Linked DNA regions of Nothobranchius furzeri. The protein of the gene in region 2 purifies or fractionates together with the protein of the main gene of each other region. This does not show direct contact. Links are inferred from orthologs where the notes say so. Each region holds a gene or a part of one and is shown on either strand. Other genes may lie near its edges. The genes, in order: bop1 and wdr12.

What was found.
Region 1: the proteins of wdr12 (region 2) and bop1 purify together in Homo sapiens (affinity purification with western blotting; 6 studies listed by BioGRID and IntAct, with this or other methods). This does not show direct contact. The link is inferred for Nothobranchius furzeri from reciprocal best matches to the Homo sapiens genes WDR12 and BOP1.

Annotation. Positions count from the first base shown.
Region 1 is NC_091759.1:9,339,544-9,343,965, forward strand, and holds the start of bop1 (ribosome biogenesis protein bop1), read left to right. Parts: upstream 1-1,390; 5' UTR 1,391-1,494; coding exon 1,495-1,557; intron 1,558-2,266; coding exon 2,267-2,500; intron 2,501-2,580; coding exon 2,581-2,673; intron 2,674-2,783; coding exon 2,784-2,938; intron 2,939-3,016; coding exon 3,017-3,134; intron 3,135-3,214; coding exon 3,215-3,316; intron 3,317-3,391; coding exon 3,392-3,604; intron 3,605-3,673; coding exon 3,674-3,835; intron 3,836-3,912; coding exon 3,913-3,993; intron 3,994-4,091; coding exon 4,092-4,161; intron 4,162-4,422. UniProt on the Homo sapiens protein: Component of the PeBoW complex, which is required for maturation of 28S and 5.8S ribosomal RNAs and formation of the 60S ribosome.
Region 2 is NC_091742.1:74,278,218-74,282,778, forward strand, and holds the start of wdr12 (ribosome biogenesis protein wdr12), read right to left. Parts: upstream 3,087-4,561; 5' UTR 2,961-3,086; coding exon 2,920-2,960; intron 2,619-2,919; coding exon 2,524-2,618; intron 1,887-2,523; coding exon 1,789-1,886; intron 1,699-1,788; coding exon 1,592-1,698; intron 1,521-1,591; coding exon 1,405-1,520; intron 1,332-1,404; coding exon 1,177-1,331; intron 1,102-1,176; coding exon 1,056-1,101; intron 1-1,055.

The DNA.
Region 1 (4,422 bases), on a different chromosome or scaffold from region 2:
AATGATGGGAATTCCGGCTCTTTTTAGAGAGCCGGTTCTTTTGGCTCAGCTCACCAACAAGAGCCGGCTCTTTCGGCTCCCAAGTGGCTCCTCAGATTTTCTGTTGGTTGCGTAGAGTACATTTATAACCAAAATAATGCAAAACTTTATGTAAAATGATTTACTAATATAAATAAATGCAACATATCAAATATTCATCATTTCCATGGATTTAATAACTGAACACTTTAAGAAATCTCCACTTTCCGACTGCTGGCGCTCATTTTCTCACCGTCTCCATCGCACTCTCCTCTCTTGCTCTCCTTTTTCCTACTCCTCATTTCCTCTCGTCTCCCGCCACCCGCATGTGCTCTGCTGTGTGTCTGAGTCATCGACATGATCTGAGTCTGATCCTCCCTCTTCCCCGCCCCTACTGCTCTGTGTGTGTACAGTCTGGACACGCAGTTACACATGTTGACCAATCACCTGTAGCTTTCACCAAAGCAAGGGGGGAGGGGGGAGGGGACGGTTCCCAATGACGAGTCGGCTCCCGTCGTTCACTTCAAAGAGCCGGCTCTTAGAGCCGGTTTGTTTGCGACCGACACATCACTAAGATGAATGCCTTTGAAGAATGTATTCTATCTATTTGAAGTAAATGTCGAGCTCAAGGTGGCGCAACAAAACATTATTATTTACACATGATCATTCATATCTGTTTATATCCTCTGGTATTCTGTTTTTTTTTTTATCGTTCCTGGCGCGCTCCGCTCATCGTGTGCTGCGGTGATTTCACCTCACTGACGCAGCATCGAAACGCGCACTACGCTTTGCGGTCAGGAGATCCCTTTGATCTGCTTAGTTCAAAAGTAACTTGTGATGTGAAAAAGTAAGAATCCAGGCAGCAGTTTTTCTGGAGAATTTAGAGGAGATGAAGGACGATGAGAGACAGACAGGACAGGACAATAGTCACATAAAAACAAGAAAACAAAACAACGTGTTGAAAAGTCAAATGTAGGTAGATTTATCTACACTACATGTTTTTACCTGTATAAAACAATAAGTTATACACATGTAATATGTATACATCTGATACAATTCAGATCACCTTCAAAACTCAGTCACACACCCAGGGCCGTTTTAAGGCATTTCGGGGGCTAAGGCAAAACAGAACCCCACATTGAGAGAACTTTCTTCAGATGTGGGCTTAATATCCTGCCTTTAATTCAATGTTAAGAATTTAAATGGGTAGTTATCCTTTTCATTTCATATTTTTACACAGAATTTGCGTAATACACATTTTCACCCGGAGAGGGCGACACAGAGCTGCACGTTTCACCATCACGTGCAACAACATTTTACTCTGCCCCACCCCCTCTCTTTTTAAATTCAACCACATGGGGGCGCTAGCAACAAACGCGCATGTTTCCTCGCTCATAACCTGTGACCCCGAAAGTTTCCCACGTGGTTTTGTAGAGGAGAGTGACGAAAACGTGCAGCTAATCGACCTTAAAAAAGATGAAGAAAAAGGAGAAAACAGACAAAAAGCGGAGTCTTCAGGAAGAGGAGGAGGAACAACAGGTGAGGCGCACTGTCAGCGAGCACGAAGAAGAGGAGGACGAAGTGGACTGGTCAGCAGCTCCCTGTTAGCTGTTAGCAAGGCATCCTAGCAACACTTGGCAGAGCTTTGTAACCCCATGACAGTTTCTAGTTGTTATTATTTGAGGAAAAGAACTAGTCGATGCTCTGACAAACATTTGACAAATTATCCGTCAAAGAGTCATTACTAATACAGAGATGCTGTTTATTTTTATTTATTTTTTCAATTGCTACTTAATGAATGGAGAGTTGACAGCTAGTTTCAAGTAAAGATTGACCTGATGAGGGCTAAACCTTGATTTTTTATTTATTTATATATTTCCTGCTCCAGATTATTTAATTTATTTCGTATTTCTTGCTAACAGATCCAAAAACTAATACAGCAAATATATTTGAAGTTGTTTAAACTTTAGTACTGGGCAAACATCAACAGAAAATGATCCTACTGATCACATTGTAACGTGTTTTAGTGTAGAATTACCTACTCAGACAGTTCAATGTCAGACCTGAGAATCCTTTTTGTCCTAGATTTATTTAGATCACTGTAATAATTGTCAGCTCTGTGATGTTGTCCTTTTTGCTTTCTCCAACAGAATAACATATATAAATAGCAACAATTCCCGTTTTGTATATTTTATTGGTTTTTGGCTACAGACAAGAGTCTTGTGTGACATGTTTTACTCTACCTCAGCTCTTCAGCTTGAACGACAAACCGTTTAAGGAAGATGAGGATGATGATGATTTATCAGACAGCGTGGACAGCGTGTATTCAGGACTGGAGGATTCTGGGAGTGACTCTGAAGAAGAAGAGGATAAAGATGAGGAGGAGGGATCTGATGAGGATGATGATGAAAATGATTCTGCTGCCGATGATGATGATAAAAATGATGAATCAAATAAGAATGCAGAAGATCAGAGTCAGAAGGTAGGACCCACGAATCAGATGGCTTGCTGCTTGTTTTCCCTCTGATCAACATTTAGTCTCTCGTATTTTGGCCTCTGCAGAAAACAGTAAAAAAGAGCAAAAAGAAAGAAGAGACTGAAGAAAAGGACGTAAAGAAAGAAAATGAGTACGAGCATGACAGCTCAGATGAGGAGGTGGGACAAAATCATCTTTAAAACGTCTGTTTTTTGTGCAGTATTGTAAAAATAGTATTTCTCTACCGTTTAAAAGAAGTACTAACATACCAGTTGTGACTGTTCTGTAGGATATCAGGAACACTGTGGGGAACATTCCCATGGAGTGGTACAAAGACTTCCCTCACATTGGCTACGATCTGGATGGGAGGAAGATCTTTAAGCCAATCAGGAACAAGGATGAGCTTGACGAGTTCTTGGACAAAATGGAGAATCCTGAATATTGGTGACCAGGCTAACATAATGCATCATAATCCACACATTTAAACACCGCATGCTAACGTGAACATGAAAATGTCTACAGGAGAACTGTCCACGATAAGAAGACGGCGAGCGACATCGTGCTTTCAGACGAGCAGATAGAGCTGGTGAATCGTCTGCAGAAAGGACAGTTTGGCGACGTTCACTTCAACGAACATGAGGTGAAACTTGGTGTTTAAAGAGAAAGCCAGTAAATATATCAGCAGAATCAGTGAAACCAGGTTTTTTTTTTCTTCCCCAGCCTATGGTGGAATTCTTCAGTAACGAGGTCATGATTCATCCAGTCACAAACAGACCTGCAGACAAACGCAGCTTCATCCCTTCACTGATAGAGAAGGAGAAGGTAAAAGAATGTCTTCATCAGGTCCACCCACCTCCACCTGCCTGATGTTTAACTGTCTGTCACACCTGTCCACAGGTCTCTAAACTGGTGCACGCTATCAAAATGGGCTGGATCAAACCTCGGCGGGTGGAAGACGACAGTAAAGGTCGTTTCTATGACCTCTGGGCCAGCGAGGACTCTTCTATTCTAGCCAAACACAGGATGCACCTTCCTGCTCCTAAAATCCCTCTACCTGGTCACGAGGAGTCCTACAACCCCCCACCAGAGTACCTGTTCACGGACGAGGAGGTCTGTCAGCCGGCTGCTCTTCTTGTTGGTGCTTGATTGCTTCGGTCTAACCCGTCTCACTCTCCACAGAAAGCTCTATGGGAGCAGCAGGACCCATCAGACAGGAAGCTGCCATTTATTCCAAACAAGTACTCGAGTCTTCGTCAGGTTCCGGCATTTTCTCGGTTCATCCATGAGAGGTTTGAGCGCTGCCTCGACCTTTACCTGTGTCCCCGCCAGAGGAAGATGAGGGTAACGGCCCGTTAGGGGGGGGGGGGGGGGCTGATGATGTAACGCTATGACGGAACTGAATTTCTGTCTGCCTGCAGGTAAATGTGAATCCAGAAGATCTGATTCCTAAACTTCCCAAACCAAAGGACCTGCAGCCGTTTCCAACAACTCAGTCCCTGGTAGAATAAACACAGATGCATAAAAACTCTCCTAAAGGTCAGATGAAGTCAAACTTAGCCGTCTGTTGCCTCTGTACCTTTTATCTTCCTGTGCTCAGGTGTATCGAGGTCACAGCAGTCTGGTTCGCTCCATTAGTGTGTCTCCATCAGGACAGTGGCTCGCTTCAGGTGAAAACTCTCATCTCCTGTCTGTTGTCATTTAAATTTATCCCAGGAGAGAATATTTATCACAGCTGTTGATTCACAAATGAATGAAAATACAAATCTATCAAATGTTTTTGACGGCTCCCTTCCAGGACTTTTTCTTTTTATTTATGTTTATGTGACTAAATACTTAATATTTAAAAGATCACCATGGCCTCGTTAGTAAGAATTAACATCTGGGGTCTCCTGCAGATGTTCTCTCATCAGCTGTACTGAATATTTAGG
Region 2 (4,561 bases):
TTACTGATTTGTAACAAATGGTTACAAAGCTTTCGCCGTTCTTAAATGTTGTTCTTTTACACATTTATCTCTTCACTTGTTGCCAGTGATGGAAGGGAATCTGATGTGCTTGTTATTTTGCTCAAAATTGCACTCCCCATGGCTTTTTGAACCTAATCGGCATCCGTTAGTAAAGTCCTACTTCAACACAAAAATACTGCTTGCTTGCAAAGATTTAGGTATGTACTGCCCCCTATTGCCAGGGAAGGTACACACTGTCACTTTAATCACACAGCTCTAGCTGATGTTTCCAGCTTTACTCCTAAACTCTGTTTCACACATCATTTATAAACATCTGTTGTGCCACATAGTCCGGAAAAAAGAATTTAAAAAGAAAAATTGGGAGACATTGGAACAGATAAAGGAACTTTATGTTTGTCCTTCTTCCCCAGGACAGGGACAAAGATTCCCATCTGGATATTTCTCAAGATTAGCTAATAAAGGATCATAACTAGTCCCAAAAAGGTCTTTAAATGTATGCGTAATCCAAATAGTTAAATTTATCTGGGCCGATGTTAAATGGAATGGGGCCAGAGAGCTGCTGCTCCAAAAGAGTTAACCTCACAACTTGAGATCTGACCAAATGTCCCAAGAAGAGCCAACAGCTTGGAGATCCCAGAAAGAGGATTTGAAATATAAAAGCCTATCATCGGTATAAAGAGAGACTTAACAGTAGATCCCAGATGTGAGATGCTCCTGACACCTGGGCTCAACCTCGTGGCAACAGCCAAAGGCTCCACTGTAACTGGAGAGGTGACAGTGGGAAAACACCTTCTCAGCATCTAGGGAGAGTACTTCTTCATCAACCTTCTGGTCGGGCAGAGCAGGTGTGTACAGCACATTGTCTCAATATTTTGCTGCTGAATCATACCTGTCAACATTTATTACGATTATTTCACTTATTCCATGTCTCATTTTCCCTGCACTGTGTGATATTGTCTCTGGTACACAGGTGATATGTATTTTATAGCTGTAGGTAAGGTTTTCCAGCTTAAATGTTCTCATCGCTCACCCACCTGCAGACCAGATCTTCAACATTTTGTCCCAGGAGCCGCTGCAGAACTGCAAAAGGACACAAACAATCTCAGACACAAACCAAACTCATCTATGAACACTTTCTATTCCCTGAAGCTTTACTTTAGAGCCAGAGGGGTCTGTGGACACTGTGTCGACACTTCCTGTGTGTCCACGACAACAGTGGCGGGCTTTAACTTTGTTCCTCTCAGAGTTCCACTCCCACAGCAGGACAGTCTGGTCCAGAGAAGCCGTCAGGAGCAGAGACGTCAGGCCATCTGGGACATCCATAGAGTCCACATTAAAGTTAATAATAACAAAGAGGGACATCCAAGGTCCCAGTCTGCTCACCTCGTTTGACCCAGGCTATGTCTTTAACAACATCTGAGTGTCCAGCTACGGTCATCACCTGCTTCCCTTCCACAGACCAGATCCTGGCTGTCTTATCATAGGAACCCGTTAGAATCCTGTAGAACGAGACACAGGGACGAGTCACAGGACAGTTACAGAAAACCAGAAGGTCTGGTCTCCATCTTACCATTCTGAGTCTGCATCCACTGAGCTGATCCAGTCATCGTGCATCATGCACTCCTCAGGCTCAGGGGCTGTGATCCGCTCCACATACTCAATCTCCACCACGTCCTCCTAAAACACACAACCATACACGCAGATGAAGCTCAGATGTCAGACTCATACTGACAGCTTTGGTCTCTGTGGCAGGTGATGAGGTCGTACCGTAGATACACCCTCTGCCTCCATGTGAGACGACAGTGGCGTTCGCAGGAACTGACCTTTGACCAGGAAGTCAAACTCCACCTTGCTGTGAGATTCTGCTAAATAAATAAATAAATAAACAACTGAAGTAAAAAATAAAACAAGAATGATAACCGTTTATAAATCATATTATGTGTAATAGTTTAAACTCCAAACTAAGCTGTTATGAGTAGTTTTTTTTTTTTTTACAGTCGACATTTTATGTAGTTTAGCAACATGTTACTTGTGTTTATGGTGTGTATTAGGGGGTAACGTGCTAGTGGTGTGTTATGGTGTCTACCATGTTAAAGATGTATTATAGTCCCCTCAGTCATCATCACACACCGGTGAAATTACATCTCCACATGTGACCCAGCCCTGTGGGGAGCGGCGAGCTGCAGCAGTGGTTGTGCTCGGGAACTATTTGGTGCGTTAACCCTCCAATCCAACCCTTTAAAGCTGAGTATCAAGCAGGGAGGCACTGGGTCACATTTGTTTGTCTTTAGTGTGGCCCAACAAGGATTTGAAAACTGATCTGCCAGTCCCAGGGCAGACATTCTACCATTAGGCCACTGAGAAGGTATGGTGTGTGTACCCTCTCTATAGTGTGTTTTAGGGTGTGTGCACGACGTTTATAGTGTGTTATGGTGTGTGCCATTTCTATAGTGTGTATGAGGCTGTGTGTACTATGTTTATTGTGTGTGTTATGGTGTGTACCATGTTTGGTCTCCAGCAGCTTGTTGATCAGGTTACTGAGGTCCTGCACTTCAGAGGCAGCTGGGATGGAGAACGGGACATCATCTACAACAAACCTGCAAACAAATCAAGGCCCAACAAAACGTTAACCCAACCAGGAGACAGGTTGACCTTTATCAACGATTAAACCCAAACTTCATATTATTAACATTAAAGGAGCTAAAACACACTAAAAGCCCTCTAATCGGTTGCTCACGAGGCCAGTAGGAAGTTGAAAACGTTACGCACATTGATAAGAAGCTCAAACTCAGAAAATTAAACCCTGAATACAAATTTAACACACGTTTAGAGAAAATAGATGCTAACTATTTAGCTAGCCTGTCCGCTTTTACCGCACTACCCCAGAATTAAACTCACCTTTTGTCCTCCGTAAAAAACCTCGCCTGTAACTGAGACATTCCTACTGTCTGCGAGTTTTCTGAGCAGATTAAAAGTAAAGAAAATCAGCTAATATCTGTAGATCTGTAACAACATCCAAGTCAGGACACTGTGGCCATGTGGTGTAGAGGAAGGCTAAAAAAGTCAAACACAGATACAGTCGGTGCCGGGTTCTCTGGATCAGTGCGCATCTAGTACTGCCTGGCTGTTTGTTCACAATAAACTAAAGATTCAGTATTTTCTACGTTTCTATGACGCATGATTCCTTCATAAAGTATTTCTGGAAAACCGAACTCAAAGCTCTATTAAGTTGGGAAAAACAGGTCTGCAAACCTCTTAAAGGCCCCATGTGTGAAATCCATTGAAATCACGATGAAAAAACGCGACCTGCAAAACCTTTAGATCATTTTTGTTAGTTTGTATATTTACGCGGTTTATTATAAATTTATGTGAACTGTCATTGTTTTTTAGACTCTAGATTAAAGAATAAGCCTTGATTCTACTCTTTATTTTTATTTTAAAAAAATTTGCTGCTTATTGTAGAAGAAATTTATATTCAGCCTCATTTAACAAAAATATGATATAGCTACTGTAAAATACGTAGATCTATTAAGCACGGATATTTACTTATGGAGTTCTCTAGTACAGTATCTATTAATAAGTTATTTAAATACCCAGTTTAGGTTCTAGCTTCAGTTTTACTTAAGAACCAACTAAACTGATGTTTGCAACATAAATTTGCTGCACATGACCTGTTAGACTTCCATTCCACAGGTAGGACCATATTTGGTCACATCAGGCAATTTCTCTTAAAAAAAATAATTAGAACAGATTTATTTAATGAATTTAGATTAAAGGTGAATGCCACAAGGTGGTCACTGTGGAGGGCGACAGAGGTAAAAACACTGGTCAGGGGAAACTGGAGCTGGAGAAGGGAAGTGCAGGATATGAGATGCTCTGTGAAGAGTTGGGTACTCTAGAATTTATTGAAGATAGACTGGGAAGCCCCTGCTCTGGTGGCACTCCATGGATCATTCTTCCATCCTGGAACAACTCAGGAGGGGTCAACATGGTCAACACTACTTTAATGAGTGGAGTGAGTGTGAGGCATGAAGTCAGTTTAAAAGTAATGGATTAGATTTATAAAGCGCTTTCCATAATTCACATTTCTGGTGATGGTGAGCTGCTGCCGCCCTGGGGTGGTGCCATCTGCCCTCCTGCCACCAAGACAGGCAAGTCGGGTGAGGCGTCCTGCCCAAGGACACAACAGCAGAGTACCCCGGCGAAGCTGGGGTCGATGCCACAATCCTCCGATCGCTGGGAAACCCGCTCTGCTGCCCCAATATGATGCTTAATGTTTTGCCTGCCTTTAAACTTGTGTTAGATTACAGGTTTGTCATTTTAAATAATACTTACACAAGTTGAAACAGGGGTGGTTCTGGGGGGCACTTGGCCCTCTCTTGCTGAAGGCATTATAAAGTAAAAAGTGACGATTACACCTAATGCGGAACCAACGCTTGTGAATTTATTTATATATAGTAGAAAAGAGCAGTGATGGAGTGTAATTAAGTAAAAGTATTGCCCTGAAGTATTTTTCTTTGAGGCATTGAGCTCCGGAAAC